Linked DNA regions of Drosophila melanogaster. The protein of the gene in region 2 purifies or fractionates together with the protein of the main gene of each other region. This does not show direct contact. Each region holds a gene or a part of one and is shown on either strand. Other genes may lie near its edges. The genes, in order: numb and spdo.

Region 1 (8,549 bases), on a different chromosome or scaffold from region 2:
TGTTCTGTCCTGGCGAACACGAGACATGCAAGCGGGTCACAATTCGAACAACTTCGAAATAGTTTGCATCTGTCGTTTGAAACGAATGCAGCCCCTGCCGGCAGTTGTTGTTCGGCTTTCTGTCTCTTTCGCACCTTTTACCAGGATCCTGCCATATGGCTCGGTGCACGTGGCGAAGGATTCTCGAAGGATTCTCTGGTTAAGTGGGTACTCGGACTCGCGCACATGCCGCCGTCTGTTCTCAGCATAGTGACTTCGATTTGCTACGATTTCCGAATTTCCAGGTAAACGGAATCGTTTGGTTCGTGTCTCAACAGGACGATCGAAGATCCTTGTTATCCTTTGTTTGCTCGCCAGCCGGCAGATGCGACGGTAATTACATTCGACTTTAGCCACTTTTGTGAGCGTACGATTTTGTTTCTGCGAACCACGCTTACAAGCTTTCTGTTTACACTCATTATGCAAATAAATATTTCAATGACTCAACGCGCTGTGGCAAACTTAACAAAAGTTAACCGAATTTTTCGGGGAACCTGTTTCCGAGCCGTGCGACACGTTATAGCCATTAAAATATGCAATTCAATGAAGAAATGAAGACCAAAGGTGAGAAACACAGAGAAATTTTCAACAACCAATCATTCATCCAAGGCACATTTACCATTACGCATTCATAACTCATAAAGCGAGGGAAAATCGTAGAGGAAAATCACTGGGGAATACTAAGAACTAATTTAATATGCACAAGAATGTATAATGCGTTGAAAACAAATTCCTAAGACAATAGCCAAACCAAAGCTTATTTGAATTTATTCAATCCTTATACTGAATTTGTAATGACCCTGGAAACTTGATACAAATGCTTCGATGTGACAGAAAAATATATTAGATTACAAAACAAGATTTTTAAAGGCACTAGTAGTTTAATTTCCTAAGTATTTATCCAAATGTTGATCTCCAGCAAACGTCGTGTAATCAAAGTACACAAGATGTAATATTTTTCTTTCCCAGACAGAAGCAAACGTAAAACTGGCTAAAGAGCTCTTTTTTATCTGACAGTTTTAAAATGGGAAAGGGATTTTTCAAAATGTGACTTTGCGATAAGCAAAACAACAGGAGAATTTGTTTGCTTACAAGTTTTGTGGAAAGTTACGTGACATCACCAGCAACTATGTTTAGATAACTGCTAAGTTTAGACGATTATCCAACCGATTTATGGCGGCAAAGGTCGTCGCGGAGGCAAAGTGGTCCAAAATTCGAGGCGATGGAAAGTCAGCCAAGCCTGACGATTTTCCAAACGGTTGTCTCCCGCTATTTTCCAGTGGCATTCTCTGCTCTGATTGTCATAGTTTCGTCGTCAAAAGGGGGAAGGAGGAGGAGAGTCAAATCAATTTTATGGCGCACAAAAGTGTAACCACGTTAGTTTTCTCTGTTCCAATTGTCAACGCTCGTCTTCTGTCGACGCCAGGCAAATAGACATCACACAAAACAGCTGTTGGCCAATTGGTTTAGCAATTTCCGGGTGCCAGGCGCCCAAAAGTAGGCAGTGCAAATACCCAATGAAAATAATCGATAGGAAACTAAACAAACAACCCATATACTTGCCAAAAGAAGCCATCCTAGTGTTTTTTGTGGGGGCGCAGTAATACTGGCGCAAATAGTCCCCTATTTGCCTAATAAGCCAGGCGAACAGGTGTGTCACGGTATTTGGGTTACATATAAGAATTTGGCATAGGTAAATAAACGTTCTATTTCAATAGAATTTTATATCAGAGCTAAAGTAATTACATACACAATTTGACAAACTATAGTTTCTATATAAGATTAATCCTTTATCAGCGCACAACCAGCTGACAGACCGGAAATTGAACTGGCTCATTAAAGGCAATAAAAAAGGAGCTAGGAACGGAAATTCTCGTAATCATATCCAAGCATGCCCTTTGACATTCTTAAGGCGCTGCGGCTTTGGCCAACTTAGCCAAGCCAAGGCCAAGTTATTACCAAGTTGGCGTGTCGACTTAGTCGGGTCTTCGAGAGGCGAGAAAAGTTTTTGGCATTAATGCGAAATGTTTGCTGTTCAGCTTTACGGCTAGTTAGCTATTGGCAGGCAAGAAAAATGCCAAGTATAAACAAAAAGTTACAAACTCTCTAATACCCTTTAAGGTTCATAATTGTAATTTTTTGCAGACTTTCAAAGCAATTGCAAGTGGTTTTTATAAAAGAAATACAAGTGGGGACACCTAAAGGAATCCCCGTGTCTTCTAGGCCGATTTAATAGCGTTATTTTCTATTAAAATCTGCCTGTTAATCGACGCAGCATTTAAGTATCAACTTAATGACAAAACGTTTACATGCATAATTATCCAATTTTTTGCATTTTTAATTTCCTGCCTTAGATGTAGAATGCCAGGTGCCACATGCCCGCTGTGTCCCGTCTCCAGAGCTAAGTTAATGGCCCAGAAGTTGAAGTTCTAGCTGGCAGCCATGACTTGGAGTTAGACTTGGTCTTGGACTTGTTCCCGTGTTCTTGACTTGTCCAACGTCTCTCTTTGTTGGCAGTTGGCTGGCTGGCTGCTGCTGCTGTTGTTAATCATCGGCGTTGCAGCATAAAAATAGAAAGGAAATTCCATGAAATTAAAGTTTTATGCAGCCACAGCCGAGGCAGCGATCAAGTTGAAGTTGAAGTTGAGGTCTAACTCCTCGACTGAGTGTTGAACTTGCAGAGCGATGGGATGGAGCTCGAGGATGGGGCGCTGGAGCTTGGAGCTGAGAGCTGAGAGCTCGGTCTTAGCCAAACGTTTAGCGAAAGCCGCGTCTCGAAGAATGCAGTCGACTTGGCATAATCGAAAGGCATGTGAGAAAAGTTGGAGTCGGCTGGCTGCCAGCCAGCCACCAAACCGGTTCCATTCGACGCGGCTCCACCATCCCAGAGTTGGCTTAACTCAAGTCCAACTGCACCCAGGTAGCATTATGTTCTTACTTTTTTCCTCGGCTTGTTACCAGTTTTTTTTTTCGTTCGTGTTTCTGGCTTTTCTTGGAATGTTTCTGAATGGTTTTTGCTGGAGCTTTTTGCCTGAAGTTTTTATGAACTGCTGAGATTTATAATCTGACCAGGCTGCAAAGCATTGCTACCAAAAAAAAAAGAAAAAAGTGCAGCATAAATCAGGGAGCCCTTTTGGTGGAAACTCAAGATCTTGAAGAACATTCCGAGTAAATCAAGTTGAACAGCATAATTATGCAAAGCAAAAGTATCCCATAGTTTGCGGCTGCAAAAAACTCTCTTCTGGCGAAAGCGGGGGCCAAGTTGGCATTTAATTACACTGTTATTATAATATATTTTCACCCACTCTCGGTTGGTTTCGTTCTCAGCCGCCCCAAACCAATTCATTACTCATTTCAATGGGAAATTTTCCCCATTTTCCATTTTGCCTTTGCCACTTTTCTTTTTTTTCTTCGTTTTGTTTGTTATCGCAGTAATTTATGCAGTTGACAGTCAAATAATTTGGCACACAGTATACATTAAAATAAATTAACTTTACAAAAGAGCTGGGAGAAGAGTTTGTGGTAAGAATATGTGCATGCTTCGGCAGAAATTCATTGGATTTTAAACTGAAATGTGGGACTATATTTGAAATAGTCTAAATAGTCTTTATATACGATCGATTCGAAGAGTTGTAGTCATGCCAAATGATTCATCTTCGGAAACGTGAGAGACTGGAGACCAGTAGAATCCAGTCAATCGTAACTTTTTAGATATATATGTACGTATGTGCGTATGTATGTATGTGCGTTCATGTGATCCAGCCAAAATCAGCTAATTGCTAATTGTGTTTATATATTTCATTTGTTAACCCTCTCTCAACAATTGCTATGTTCAAGTGCAAACTGCAAAGATTTATTGAGTTTTTTAGCTGGGTAATTCATTCTAAATTACTGGTATCGCTATAACCTTAATGGATATACTCCCCCTGATTATTAAAATTAATGCCCCAAAACGTATTTTGAATACTTTAGCTTATTGCGAAGCAAAGTCTAGTATAGTGTTACATAGTTTGAACAGCTGTTTTTAGTTTTCTATACCAATGCATATTGAAGACGTCAAAAACTGGAATTATTACAAAAATGAATATTATGTTTTTACAAATGTCAAAGCAGCAACAACTAGCGTAAAGCTGTAAAAGAATTGCATATGTATATGCAAATCTGATTTTGCACCACAATAAACTCGTTTTGACTTGGCTTTAAATCCGAAGCTCAAGTTAAGCTCAACTTTGGCTGTTGTTACTGTTTTTTTTTTTTTTTTGGTTTTAAACATTTACCATATATATATCGGGATCGGTTTGTATTTGAGTTGCTTTTTTTGGTATATTCCAAAAAGCCGAGTTTTGTTGTCAGTCTGTTTTTGTTTTGATCACATTCGTATGTATAATTAATAAATAAATCCGGTTCGGGCCTTATATAACTTTCTTGCTCATTCAGTGGATTTTTGCCAACGTTTCGGTTTTAACTATTTATTAATTCCAAGAACACCTCGCACAGCACACAGCACACGGAATGTGGGGAAAATCGCGAAAAACCGAAATAACGACAACGCGACACCGATTAAAACGATCCCCGTGTTAAGAGCCCGGTGCCCGGTAAATGGATGGCTGGGATCGGCTTGGCCCAAAAGGCCTGGACTACTTAGGTGTTAACTTTTTTACTATGACCCCCCCGGAAATTGGAAAAAGGTTACACTATCCCTACGCGGACATTTGGACAACCGACGACGACAGTGGGCCGAAAGCGAATGGAAGCGGAGGGAAAACGGAACGCGTTTGTCCGGCAAGCGGTAAGCGGTTAGCTCGATGCGGCGGCTCAAATTGCTCTACTGTACTGGCTGACTCTGGCCGCACGCTCAGCGCTGTTTGAGTCGAGAGGAAAGAGTGCGAGCGTGCAAAGAGCGGAAGAGAGCGACAGCTGTTACAGGGTGTTTCGGCCTGTGTGTGTGTGCACTGAGAAAAATCGAACAAATTGGCCCTGATTTCAACTAAATGTGGTGTTAAGATCACTTTGAGGGAAGAGTGATCTTACTACTTTTCTATCGATTTGGAAAAGGTCGTCATCAAAGGGTATTGCCTTATTCTATTACGCGCTTTTAATACAACCTATTAAGCCATTATTATCATAGTGTTTTATTTTATTTATTATATTACAAGTTGTTAAGTCCTCTTAAAACTTTAAAGTGATTTTTTCAGTGCACCAGTACGTTTGTGGATTTGCTCAGTTCCATTGTGTTTATTTACTACCAACGACGACGTCGTTTTGCTTCTTCCATCTCACCTCCGCTCTGCTGCGTTTGTATTTGTTGTGATAATGATAAAACTGCGACGCGTTTCTGCAGCTTGTAGGTTTTCAAGAGTGGGAGTGAGATAGCAGAAGTTGAGCGAGCGAGAGTGGCGTTTAAGGTATCTCGGCCAGGTATAATCTCAGATGCGCTGCATTTAGAGATCGCGATTTGGTGACCGTGGCTTAAAAGATTTGCGGTTGGGATAAGTTGAGAAAATTCTTGGAAAACACGAGCTCAATTTTATTATTTAACTCTGGGAATTTCCCAAATGGGCCAGTGCTAAGATAATTACAAAGCCGGGTAGTTCAAAAAGGTCCTCTTATTGTTTTGTAATATCTCTGGCTCTCAGATTTATCGCTAACCCATACGCCTTGGATTTAAAGTTCGGAATTGTCTTTAGTCGTCTTTCTTTAGCAGCGCTCAAATTCTTGGAAACTTTGTAAAATAAATTATGAATTTTGCACGGGTGTAAAAATTACAAGTTTTAAGGATGTTATCTTTAAAAACTTGCGTAATAAAAATTACTAATCCCGAAAATTTTTTTGTCTTCGAAATCAGGATTTGAGATACCCCATTGAAGTGATAGAAGGGCATTCAAAACCAGTTGGTTTCGTTGGTTCTGCAGCTGCCAGTTTTTTCCACATGGAGTATGAAGAGCGAGTGGTTTGGTTTGAATGGAAATGATTATGGCACTCAAGAGAGTCATCAAAGAGAGTTACCAAAGACTTAGCTATTAACAAAATGCAAAAGATGGCTAGGTGGTTATGAAATCCCAACGGACATACAAAACAAATGAAAAGAATAAAAACTGATTAACTGAACAATAATCAAGGCTCGGTAATCAATGTATTGAACTTATCGATTTGAATTAGTTGCCCAACCTAAATTCCGTGACAACAATGGCAAAATGATCGATCGAAACCGTAGAACAAAAGAGCGCGCGATGCAAGGTCGTTCGCTCTTTAAGAGAAAATTGTACCCTAAGAGAAACATAGATAACTCCGAAAGATAAATACCCAAATGTGCGCGTGAGACAGTCATACATATAGATAATAAGAGAGTTTTCAGCAATGAAACGTGCGAAAAATTGCAATGCAGCAGCGACTTTAATCCAGGTAGCCCATAAAATCAGGTAGTAAAAAGAATGGTATCAAAACTATTGGGAGCAAACCATTGCTACCTACACATGGCACCCAATCGCGCCAACATTATCGCAATTTAAATGCAGAAAAAACAAAGTGCTGCAACTGATGAAAAAAGCAGACTTGCACTCAGAAAAAATGTAAATTCTTATTGCTATCATTTAATAATACAAATATTTCCAAATTTCATTAAAAGATGACATAAAATTTTCAAACTTTTTCGAGCTTGGGATAAGTTATTCAAAAAGTAATAAAATCAAAATTAACCATAATAAGTGCATACTTATGAATTGATTTACTCAAAACACGAGAAGATGTTAGTTATATAAAGCTTATGTCCATTATCATTTGACTCCATTACGTTAAAATTAAAGACGGTTATGCCTTTTTCCGTGTGTTAAATGTGTTAAAGCCATTACAGACATTACTCGACACTTTTAGATAAACCATAATGAAAACAGCTAGCACTGAATGAGGAGACCCCAGATCCCAGACAACCCACCCACCTCCCGTCGCAGACAAATAATTCCAGCTCCGCTGGTATGAACCGACAAAAGATAATGCCAGACAATGGGGGAAAGGGGAAAACGGAAGAAGCATAGGGAAGCATAGAAATAGGGAAATGGCCATAAGCTGAGAAATCAATGTCAGTCAATGGAGCTGCGGGGCAGACAAAAGCCACATGTGCAACCTAATCAAAATTTCAATCAAAATGCGCAAAATGCCGCAATGAAAGGCTCACAACAAATGGCAACAAATACGCTCAAACACAGTCTAATACGTTGGCATGAGTAATCCAAACCGAATCAATTCACTCGAATTGAACCCAATCTGGCCTGTAATTGCGATTAAGAAGCCAATTACTCATACAAATTGCTGGGTCAATTGTTAAGGATTTCCATTTGCAGACAAGAAGATTAACAAATCAATTGTTGGGCAATAATTGAAATAATTTTGCGACAATTCGAAGGGGGTGATGAATAATCGATTAACCCAATGTTTTGATAATCAAGATTCAAGGTAATTTAGTTTTTGTGATTTTTTAAAGGTTTGTATATTAACTGTGATGATTTAATTCCATTTTGGGTTTAGGAAAAATTGTTAAAAATATATTACGGAAAAAAACTTGTTTGTTGTTTCGTTCTCTCTCTCTCGTTGAAAAAAATATTTGAAATTGCTTACCTTGTATTAGTTTAAGGTGCCTTGAAAAAGCTGAAATGAAAAAAATATTCTTTATTATAAATAGAGTATTAAAGCAGTTATTAAAGTTATTATTTAAGCTGCTGTTTCCGTTACAAAATTTTAAAAATGTTTTTAATCTGGCAATGCTTGAACTCAAGTCTCTCTTAAAAGAAACTTAAGAGCCTGCTTACACCCAATGCATGCACATTCACACTTGGGCACTCAGCTGACAATGTCAGTGACGTTTATAAAAAAGTTCCCACGGTCATTAGGGTCATGACAGCTCTAACATATTTTGTCTCGTGTTCGCAATTTGTTTTTAATTTAAAACTGCATGTGTGTATGTCTATGTATGTGTTTGGCCAAGTAAATGTGTTCTTTTAGCCTATTGCTTATGAGCGTTTCTTGAGTACGTTCTTGAGACGTCGCCGAGCTGAGCCGCAAAACTTGAGTGGCTCGAGGGCTTAAAAGCTTTGTCGGGCAGGTGAAAGAGCTTTTTGTTAATGCTAAGCTCGGCTTGCGGTTGAATGAACTGAAGCTTAAAGTGATTTAAAGTTATTGCACTGAGGATATAAAGTATCACAAGGTATGTACGCTTATAGGAATTAATTGTGTTTAAAAAAGATTTTGTATATCAAATTCTTCTTCCTATTGCCATACATTTATTTTTAAAGATACAATTTAGTAAATAATACTACATACATACATATATGGAAAAAAACAAAAAACACCATTATTGTCACACTCATCATTACTCAAGTATATTATTTTAGGTTAAAGACATCATAAAATTAAAAATTAAATTCGTTTAATTGTAACCCTACTTATTTATCTTATGGATATTTTTTTTTTTTGCTTTGGCGGACTTTCTAACCAATGTTATTTTAAGCCGATAAAAA
Region 2 (8,160 bases):
CAATATGGCCGCACTTCCGCCCCGCCCCCGGCCACGCCCATCGGTTGTTTGTTGAGCTAGACCCAGAGCATAGTAGGATAAAAAGTGAACCAATATTCACAAGTCAAATTACATTGCTCATATCGTTTTGAAAGCATTGAAAGTGCCAGTAATTAAAAGAAGGCAACTAAAAGCATGCAATGCTGGGCCAAAAAGTCAGGACTAAGACTTTCTAAAATCTCTGCACACTTTTAGACACCGAACTTAACAGGCTACGTGTTTTCTATGAATTTCTTCATTCGCATGGGAGATGAGCAATCGAGTGGACGTGTTCACAGAAGTCGCGGATAAAACAAAAACGTAATTGTGATCCATCACAAACATTTGCGCAGATCGTGTGCTTATCTCACAAACAAAATCTATTTTTAGTCACTGCATAACGGTGACGGCTTCGGTTCGCGAAACTTATCAGCAACTAGCAATTTCTAAGCTGTGTTGTTTTTGCCCCTCGCCCTGCGCGCTGCGCAAGCGGGAGGTTGTTACAATTTACCTTACAAGTAAACCGGTAAATCTTATTGTGTTTAGTAAATATCATTTGCATTATACGGCATAAGTATAAAGACAATTGATATAATGGAGAATTCATTTGCTCAATCGCGACCTAGCAATGGGTGCGATAAATTTGAGAAAATGAGGAAAGTAGCAGGTGTTGAGCCAGGAGAATTACGCTCCCAACTCCGCGCCAGCTGTGCAGTTGTTTCCCCTAACCTGGAAGGTATGCCAACTCAATCTACGGTCTCCAGCTTAATGGTGACAATCAGCAGCAACACCAATGCAAGTGTTACCTGCACTATTTCTAACGTACAGGCCAACATGATCTGTACTCCTACATACACTGATGGCACAACCGTGACCACTAGCATTTGCCCAACTACGCCTTATGACAATGGACTGCTGACACCTCTGTCATCACTGCCCAATAAGCCATCTAAAGCGAATTGCCCCTTTCAAGCACATGATCGTACTGTCAACAGGAAACGAAAAGGCGTGTCTCAGCCCCCATTACCTATCCTCACCCCTTCTCCAAGCCGTAAAACTAAAAGGCAGGCCACTATGCCACTCAATGAGGAGGCCTCTACCTCCACTGCAGCAGCATTAAATAACAATCGCTTCGCGCTTTTGTCTGCTGAAGCGGAGAATATGGAGCAAGACGTGTCGGATGCTGATTCTGACATTGAAGACTCTGCTGCCCGAGATGGTGGTGGACAATCCGCTAAATATAGCAAACCCCCAGCCATATGCGTACCAAGTGTAAGTGATCCGGTCACCTTGGAACGGGCTCTTAATCTGAGTATTGGCTCCTCAAACTACTACATCTGCACCTCTAGATTTGGTGTATCCAGAATCTATACAGCCAACCCTGATGCTTTCCGCACCGCTGTAAAAGAACTAAATAAGTTAAATTGTCAATTCTGGCATCACCAACTTAAAGAAGAAAAACCCTACAGAGTAGTGCTTAAAGGAATCCATGCTAATGTTCCTAGTTCGCAGATAGAACAAGCATTTAGTGATCACGGCTATGAGGTCCTTAATATCTATTGCCCCAGAAAGTCTGACTGGAAGAACATTCAGGTAAACGAAGATGATAATGAAGCTACAAAAAACTTCAAAACTAGACAAAATTTGTTTTATATTAATCTTAAACAAGGCCCGAATGTTAAAGAGTCTCTTAAGATAACTCGACTTGGCAGATACAGAGTCACTGTTGAGCGCGCTACACGTAGAAAAGAACTGCTACAATGTCAAAGATGCCAAATTTTTGGACACTCCAAGAACTATTGCGCCCAGGATCCTATTTGTGGTAAATGTAGTGGTCCCCATATGACCGGGTCCGCTTTGTGCATAAGTGACGTATGTCTGTGTATAAATTGTGGTGGTGATCATGTCTCGACAGACAAAAGCTGCCCTGTCAGAGCAGAGAAAGCCAAGAAGCTAAAACCAAGGTCCAGGCTGCCGATGACTAATAATATTGCCACACTCAAACCTCCACAACGTTCTTCAAGCGGTTACATACCAGCTGAGGCATTAAGAACCAACATCTCTTATGCTGATATTGCTCGACGCAACACGACTCAATCTAGGGCTCGTGCTACTGTGCAGGCTGAAGTTATACCAACGTCGGACAATAGCCTTAACAATAAATTTATGACGTTAGACAACTCCATTCGGGCCATCAATACGAGAATGGACGAACTATTTAAGCTTATACACGAAACTGTAGAGGCTAATAAAGCTTTCAGAGAACTGGTTCAGGTTCTAATTACACGTATTCCTAAATGAGTACACCCCAACAGCCTAGCAAGGAAGCTAGGAACTGCAGCTGTGGTCAATGCTGACCCTCGGACTAGAGTCAAAAGAAGACTCAAGCGACACCACCCTCATGACCTCCCTAACCTGGTTTTGACCTAGAAAGTCTTAGTTTTAAAATTCATTAGAATAATCAAATAAATAATAATTACTATGTTATATCAACTATTATAATTCTCCCTATCATTTTTAGGATTAAAAATCTGTTAGTCTTAAGTAACCAAGACACATTGTAAAATAAAATAATTTAAGCAGATCAAATTAAGTTGCCGCATGGGTAACAGTGCGTTGATCAAATAATAAAAACATCATAAAAAAAAAAAAAAAAAAAAAATGAATTTCTTACTGTGTGGAGCCTCCTAGAGGCAAGGAGCACCCACTGGGGATACAGATGCGTGTGTGAAGCCAGCCCGTTGATGAACGGATAGGGGACACTAACCGGTGTAATAAGACGTTAATAAAGCATACAACTCCCTAGCCAGAGGACGTGCCGATCCTGCCCTGCTCTACGTGATGACTTCCCTCCTTTCCACAACAAAGTCGCACTGGCGGCAGATGGCCAACACTTATTCGCACTTAATGGAGAACCCTGAGAGCGGCTCCAGGTGGAAAGTATGGAAAGTGGCAGGACAACAGGAGGCAAGTGGCCGGCGACTGAGTGCAATTTCCTGCAACCAAATGGACCTCGAAAGTGCCATGCAAACGAGCCAGGACAACAACGAGATGGAGTGGCGAGCACACTCTGAGAATTTAATTACCGAAATTTAAGGACATTTTCGGGTTTAGGGGGCTGTGAAAATTTCTAGATTTTATAAGTTATTGAAGCAGCACTGCCATGAGCGTATGCTAACATAGTTATGGTTGTACATAAAGGTAAACGCATAGCTTTTAGCGAAAGTTTTAAATAATTTCACGGTCTGAAGCATGCAACGCTTGAATATTTCTTGTCAAAGGAGCCAGTGAAGTATTTAAATAAATTTCATTAGAAAACGATATTTCAATTTAAGCAGCGGTTTTTGCAAGTGCAACCGGGGGCACTTTGCGGACGGATGTCGGGGAGTCGCACTGGACTCGGACTTGCACTCACCCTCCTTGTAGGTGGAGAAGGCCAGGTACTCGAGGATGTCGGCCTTGGTGAAGCTCTGGGTGTGGTTGGTCGGCTCCTCCAGCATGCGGGCCATCGCCTCGTTCATCCAGAGCACCGTGTGGTAGTAGTCGTGGTTCACGTACGATTGTCTACCCAACTCGAAGCAGTCATCCGAGGACATTTCCGTGCTGCGGGATAATAAATTTGGTCAGTGAGTATCCCAGGGACTTGGCCGCTCCACTTCGAGAAGTTTATTTTTTTGGTAACCAGAAAATCGATGACTGTGCTCAGCTTTGTATAGCTCTAGCTTACTTCCTTACTTCTCGCATGCATTTAGTTGGACAAAAACTTACCTGTACTGAATGCCATTCAGCTTGCCCCTCGCCACACTCGAAGTGTCCAGTTGGTAGGTGTCTTGCAGGCGGAGCAAGGCCACCGCCGCGCCATTGAGGTCCTCGTCGGAGGGGAACTTCAGGAGGCTGCGATACTGGGTGATGTTCTGCAGGAAATCCGTGCCCACGTCGTGCTCCATGAGGTTCTCCACCTGACGCCAATCGGTGGTTAGCCGCTTAGTCAGCAGGTACGCATTGATTGGATTGGATACATAGGCGGTTATATCATGGGAGGCATCCGAGTGCTCCCTCTGGTACTCGTCCATTTTGCTGCAATTTAAAGAGAGGGCAAAACTTAGTAGACAGAAGAGCAAAACACATTGCTTTAAAATATGCACCGTATTTCAATAGTTAAAAGGTGCTGAAAGCTGAAAAATAATTGTTTACTCAATTAAGTTAAGTATCACGACGCTGAATCTATAATTTTAACACTCGACCTATATTTGAAAGTGTTTATTCACCATATATATATTTTTGATTGTTAAAGAACTAACCTAATTGAACACTTTAACCATTTCCTTATTGATACAAAATGCTGTGCTGGTATCTACGTGCCTTTATTTTATTCTTATTCCATAACATACTTATACTTAGGTGAACAATAAGTTAAGCAAACTAAGTGTTAGCAATAGGTACAACCCACTTGTTATATACAGTCGTTTGGGGGATGATGATCTTCCGCTGATTATAAATCTAATTCTTGTTTTTGGTCTTTTAGCCGTTCGGTGTGTCAAGTTCTTGAATTCGAAGTGGATGGTGTACAACTAATTAGAGTCTAGGATTAACTATTTCCAGGGTATTAGACCACGTTGACGCGGTTGTCTGGCGGAGGTCGGTGGCACCACAAGCTGCCCAGCACTCCCAATCCGATGAAGAACATGGTGAAAGTCGACAGTCCAAGGATGACGCCAGTGGTCACATCGTGGACAGGAAATCCGGGGAAGGGGTCCACCACGAGTATCACAAGCAATCCGCAGGACTTGAATAGGCAAAATACGGTGACCAGGATATAGCCGGAACTATAGCTCCTGTTCGGCAGCCACTCGCAGTGGCGCGACTTGAATCCCAGGAAGCCGAGTCCCATTCCGGAGAAGGAGGCCACCAGGCTAAACTGCAGGTAAAAGGACTTTCCGAGCTGTAGGCGAAGAAAAAGTGTTATTCAAATGTTTCCATGGACAAAATGAATATCTTTAAAAGTATTTGAGAGTACTTACGTGTGCTATCATGTAGATGATGAGCCCCGCATTCATGGTGCTGCCCAAGACGAGCATCAGGGAGACAACGGCCAAGGTAATGGTGGCATTGGCCATCTTCTGCGGATAGGAGCTGTTTTTCTTGCCCTTTCCCTGGATGCTGCTCATGTCCTGTTCCCGTTCCTGCTCCTGCCCCTGCTCCTGGACCCTGGGACTGATGACGGCCATGGATCGATCGGCGATCTGCATGGGAAGCGGCTTCACGGTCTCGTAGTGAAGTCTCTGGGGGGAGAGTCGATTCTGGCGAAGTGGCAAGGTTGGAGGGACTCCTACTACCGCTCCAACTTGTTGGCTTTGGTAGATCTGTTGGCTTTTGTAGATCTCCAAGCGCCTTTCCAGCTGCAGCTGCTCGTGGTGGGCGGCGTTCCGGGGCGTTGAGTGCGCCAATCGCGGAGGCGGCTGCATCTTCCTGGGCGTGGTCAGGAGCTCGTGCAGGGCCCTCGTAGCGGCAGCCGCATTCTTTTGCTGCGGCGTTGAGGTCCTCGCTGCGTACTGCCTGCTCAATTCCATGTTGCTCAGGCAGGTTTCCTGCTGCTCCTGCTCCTCCGCCAGATCATCGTCGTCCGCATCCGTGGGCACCACTGCATATCGATGGGCGCGGCCATTGTGCATCTGTATGATCTCCTGGTTCTCGTCTACCAGCTCCTCGTCCTCGGCGGTGGGCACCATCTGGTACCTCTGGTTGCTATTCTTATCCACTATCAAGAAGGTCTTGCTGCCGAAGTCGCTACTAAAAGCATGCTTAATCTGGGTTTGATTGGCATTGGTATTGTTGTTAATATTCCTGGGCTTGGGCGGCAAATTAAGTATCGGTGGCAAGCTGGCAAACTGGGTCTCCTGATGGGGTTCCTCGTGGAAGGAGTGAGGCTCCTCCTCTTCGTGCAATCCATGTCTGGAGCCATAGCGATCCAGATTATCCTGTGATCGGGCCAGTCTCTGTGCCGCCTGTCCTGGAACTATGGCGTATCTACTGGCCCTACTGCTGTTCAGTTCCTCTAGGGGAACCAAGGCATAGCGACCACTAGAGGATTGCGGCTGGTGTTGCTGCTGCTGAGCCAGGTGTTGCTGGTGTATCTGCTGTTGGTGTTGCTGCTGCTGCTGCTGCTGGTGTTGTTTCCGCGTCACCGATCGCGTGGACATGCTACGCTGCATTCGCAGTGGACCCTCGCGGGGATCTCGAGTGGCGCGCGGAGGAGCCGCTCCAAAGTTCATCTGGAGGCTTCTGTTGTAGATGGACTCCACTCGCGACGAGTTGCCGCTGGGCACCGGGTAATACTCGCTGTTCTGGCAGAAGGCCGGGTTCGTATAGTTATGCTGCGACATGTTGGCACTGTACTGGTGGCAATTCCACAACCTCTTAGGGGTGTTCTTTCACTACTTTGGGTTTTCTTTGGGTTCGTAGCACTGTTCACGATCCGCTCGCCTCGGCAACTGCGACTCGACTGATCTAGAGAGCCGTTCCAGACGGCAGCTCCTCAACTTCCTCCACTTCCTGCGCCGGCGCGCAGTCGAGTGGATCGTGCTCCGATACGAGTCCCCACCCCATAAAACACCATTTACTTGTACATAAGACACCCGTACACCCGTACAATGACCGACTGTGTTTGGCGCGTTCCATTAGGCCATTGGAACCGAACCGAATGTGAAAACCCAGAAACATCTGCTCCTGCTGCTCGACGAACGAACGGGGGTTGAAACGCATTTCACTTCCAACTGAGACGTCTCAACGCGATCCTAACCAAAACCTAAAAACCCCTGGCGAATTGCAGGAGCAGCCGGCGTTTTATTCGGTTCGCGTTTATCGGCGTTTTTAATTCTTATTTACCAACTCATATGCGCTCCCTTGCGACTTTAATTCTGTTTTGCTACCACTTAGTTGGCGAGTTGAGGGGTATGATGAATGTGTTTTAAATCCACCTAAGATTATACTCGAACATAACCAGTGTAGAGCAGATCATATCAGCACACTGTCATCACCGAGAATTCAACATAATTTAACTATCATAAAAGTGTTTTTTCTTTATTATAATCATATAAGAACTAGTTGTTCTTGTTCCTTTTGTTCATCCGCTGCTTTGTTTCTCGACCGAAATATTTAAAATAGTTTATTGTTTGTTGAAAACATATCGTGCTTTTATTATATATGGTTAGCATCCGTATATCGGCACCATTAAAACAAACTTTTAATGAATGCTTTCACAAAACAGTTTAGTTTAATATGCACATATTTCTGACGTAAAAGCGTCAAGCCATAAAGTAGAGCTTAGCTTCAGTCAGAAAGAAATGAAACAAAAGAACTTAAGAGATTAAATTATTTCACTTCGCTTATTTATTTTAAGGGGTACCCTTCAGTCGCGCTTGCTTCTTAAAAATAATCCTTGCTCAGCTCTGATGTTTGTGCAGACCAAAAACCTTCCCTAAAGGCAGCCCTCCCCGGATTTTTGTTGCCCAAGCGACCGTTACATTTGGTTGTCAGAGAAAAACGATAAAAAACGAAGAGTTCGTGGGTCAACTTTATCCGGATTTCGCCTCCCACGTGCATACATATGTACATGCCTTTGAGCCCGCAGGTTGGATGCACGCGTGTTGTCCTTTTGTGGTGGCCAACTTAATTGCCTTTTGGCCAGAAGCAAATCAGCGCAGCCGGGGGCATTTGTCAAGCGGATTAGCCAGAAATTGGAGGCACCAACAGCTGGTCGGTGGGAAAATTTAAGATGCATATAAAGTTAAACGCCGGCAGACGGCACGCGACTAGAGTGCGGGGTTTCTGCACAGTATCCGAAGGATACTCGGATGCAGATACTCAAAGGCAGGGGCAATGACAGCGCACAAGGATAACAGACAGAGACGGCAGGCACACAGCTGTCAGCTGTTTGCGAGGATCCTGTCTCGTCCTTTGTTGTGACACAACCAAGGTACAAATGCAGGAACAGAAACTCAACTAAACTCAACTGAACTGAACAGCAGAGAAACAGCCGCAAAGATAGATCCTGAATCCTGAGTCCTGAGTGCGACTGGCATTATTTGATTAGGGGAGTTGTCTCACCGCATCCTGCACCCTGCTCTCTCCCCCATATTATTT

The links.
Region 1: the proteins of spdo (region 2) and numb purify together in Drosophila melanogaster (affinity purification with western blotting; 6 studies listed by BioGRID). This does not show direct contact.

What each region holds. Positions count from the first base shown.
Region 1 is NT_033779.5:9,446,149-9,454,697, reverse strand, and holds the start of numb (numb), read right to left. Parts: upstream 4,869-8,549; 5' UTR 4,317-4,868; intron 4,103-4,316; 5' UTR 4,078-4,102; intron 1-4,077.
Region 2 is NT_033777.3:30,475,054-30,483,213, reverse strand, and holds spdo (sanpodo), read right to left. Parts: upstream 6,531-8,160; 5' UTR 6,402-6,530; coding exon 5,040-6,401; intron 4,961-5,039; coding exon 4,625-4,960; 3' UTR 4,365-4,624; downstream 1-4,364. Other genes in the region: PH4alphaEFB (prolyl-4-hydroxylase-alpha EFB), read right to left, coding at 3,434-3,621, 3,787-4,095.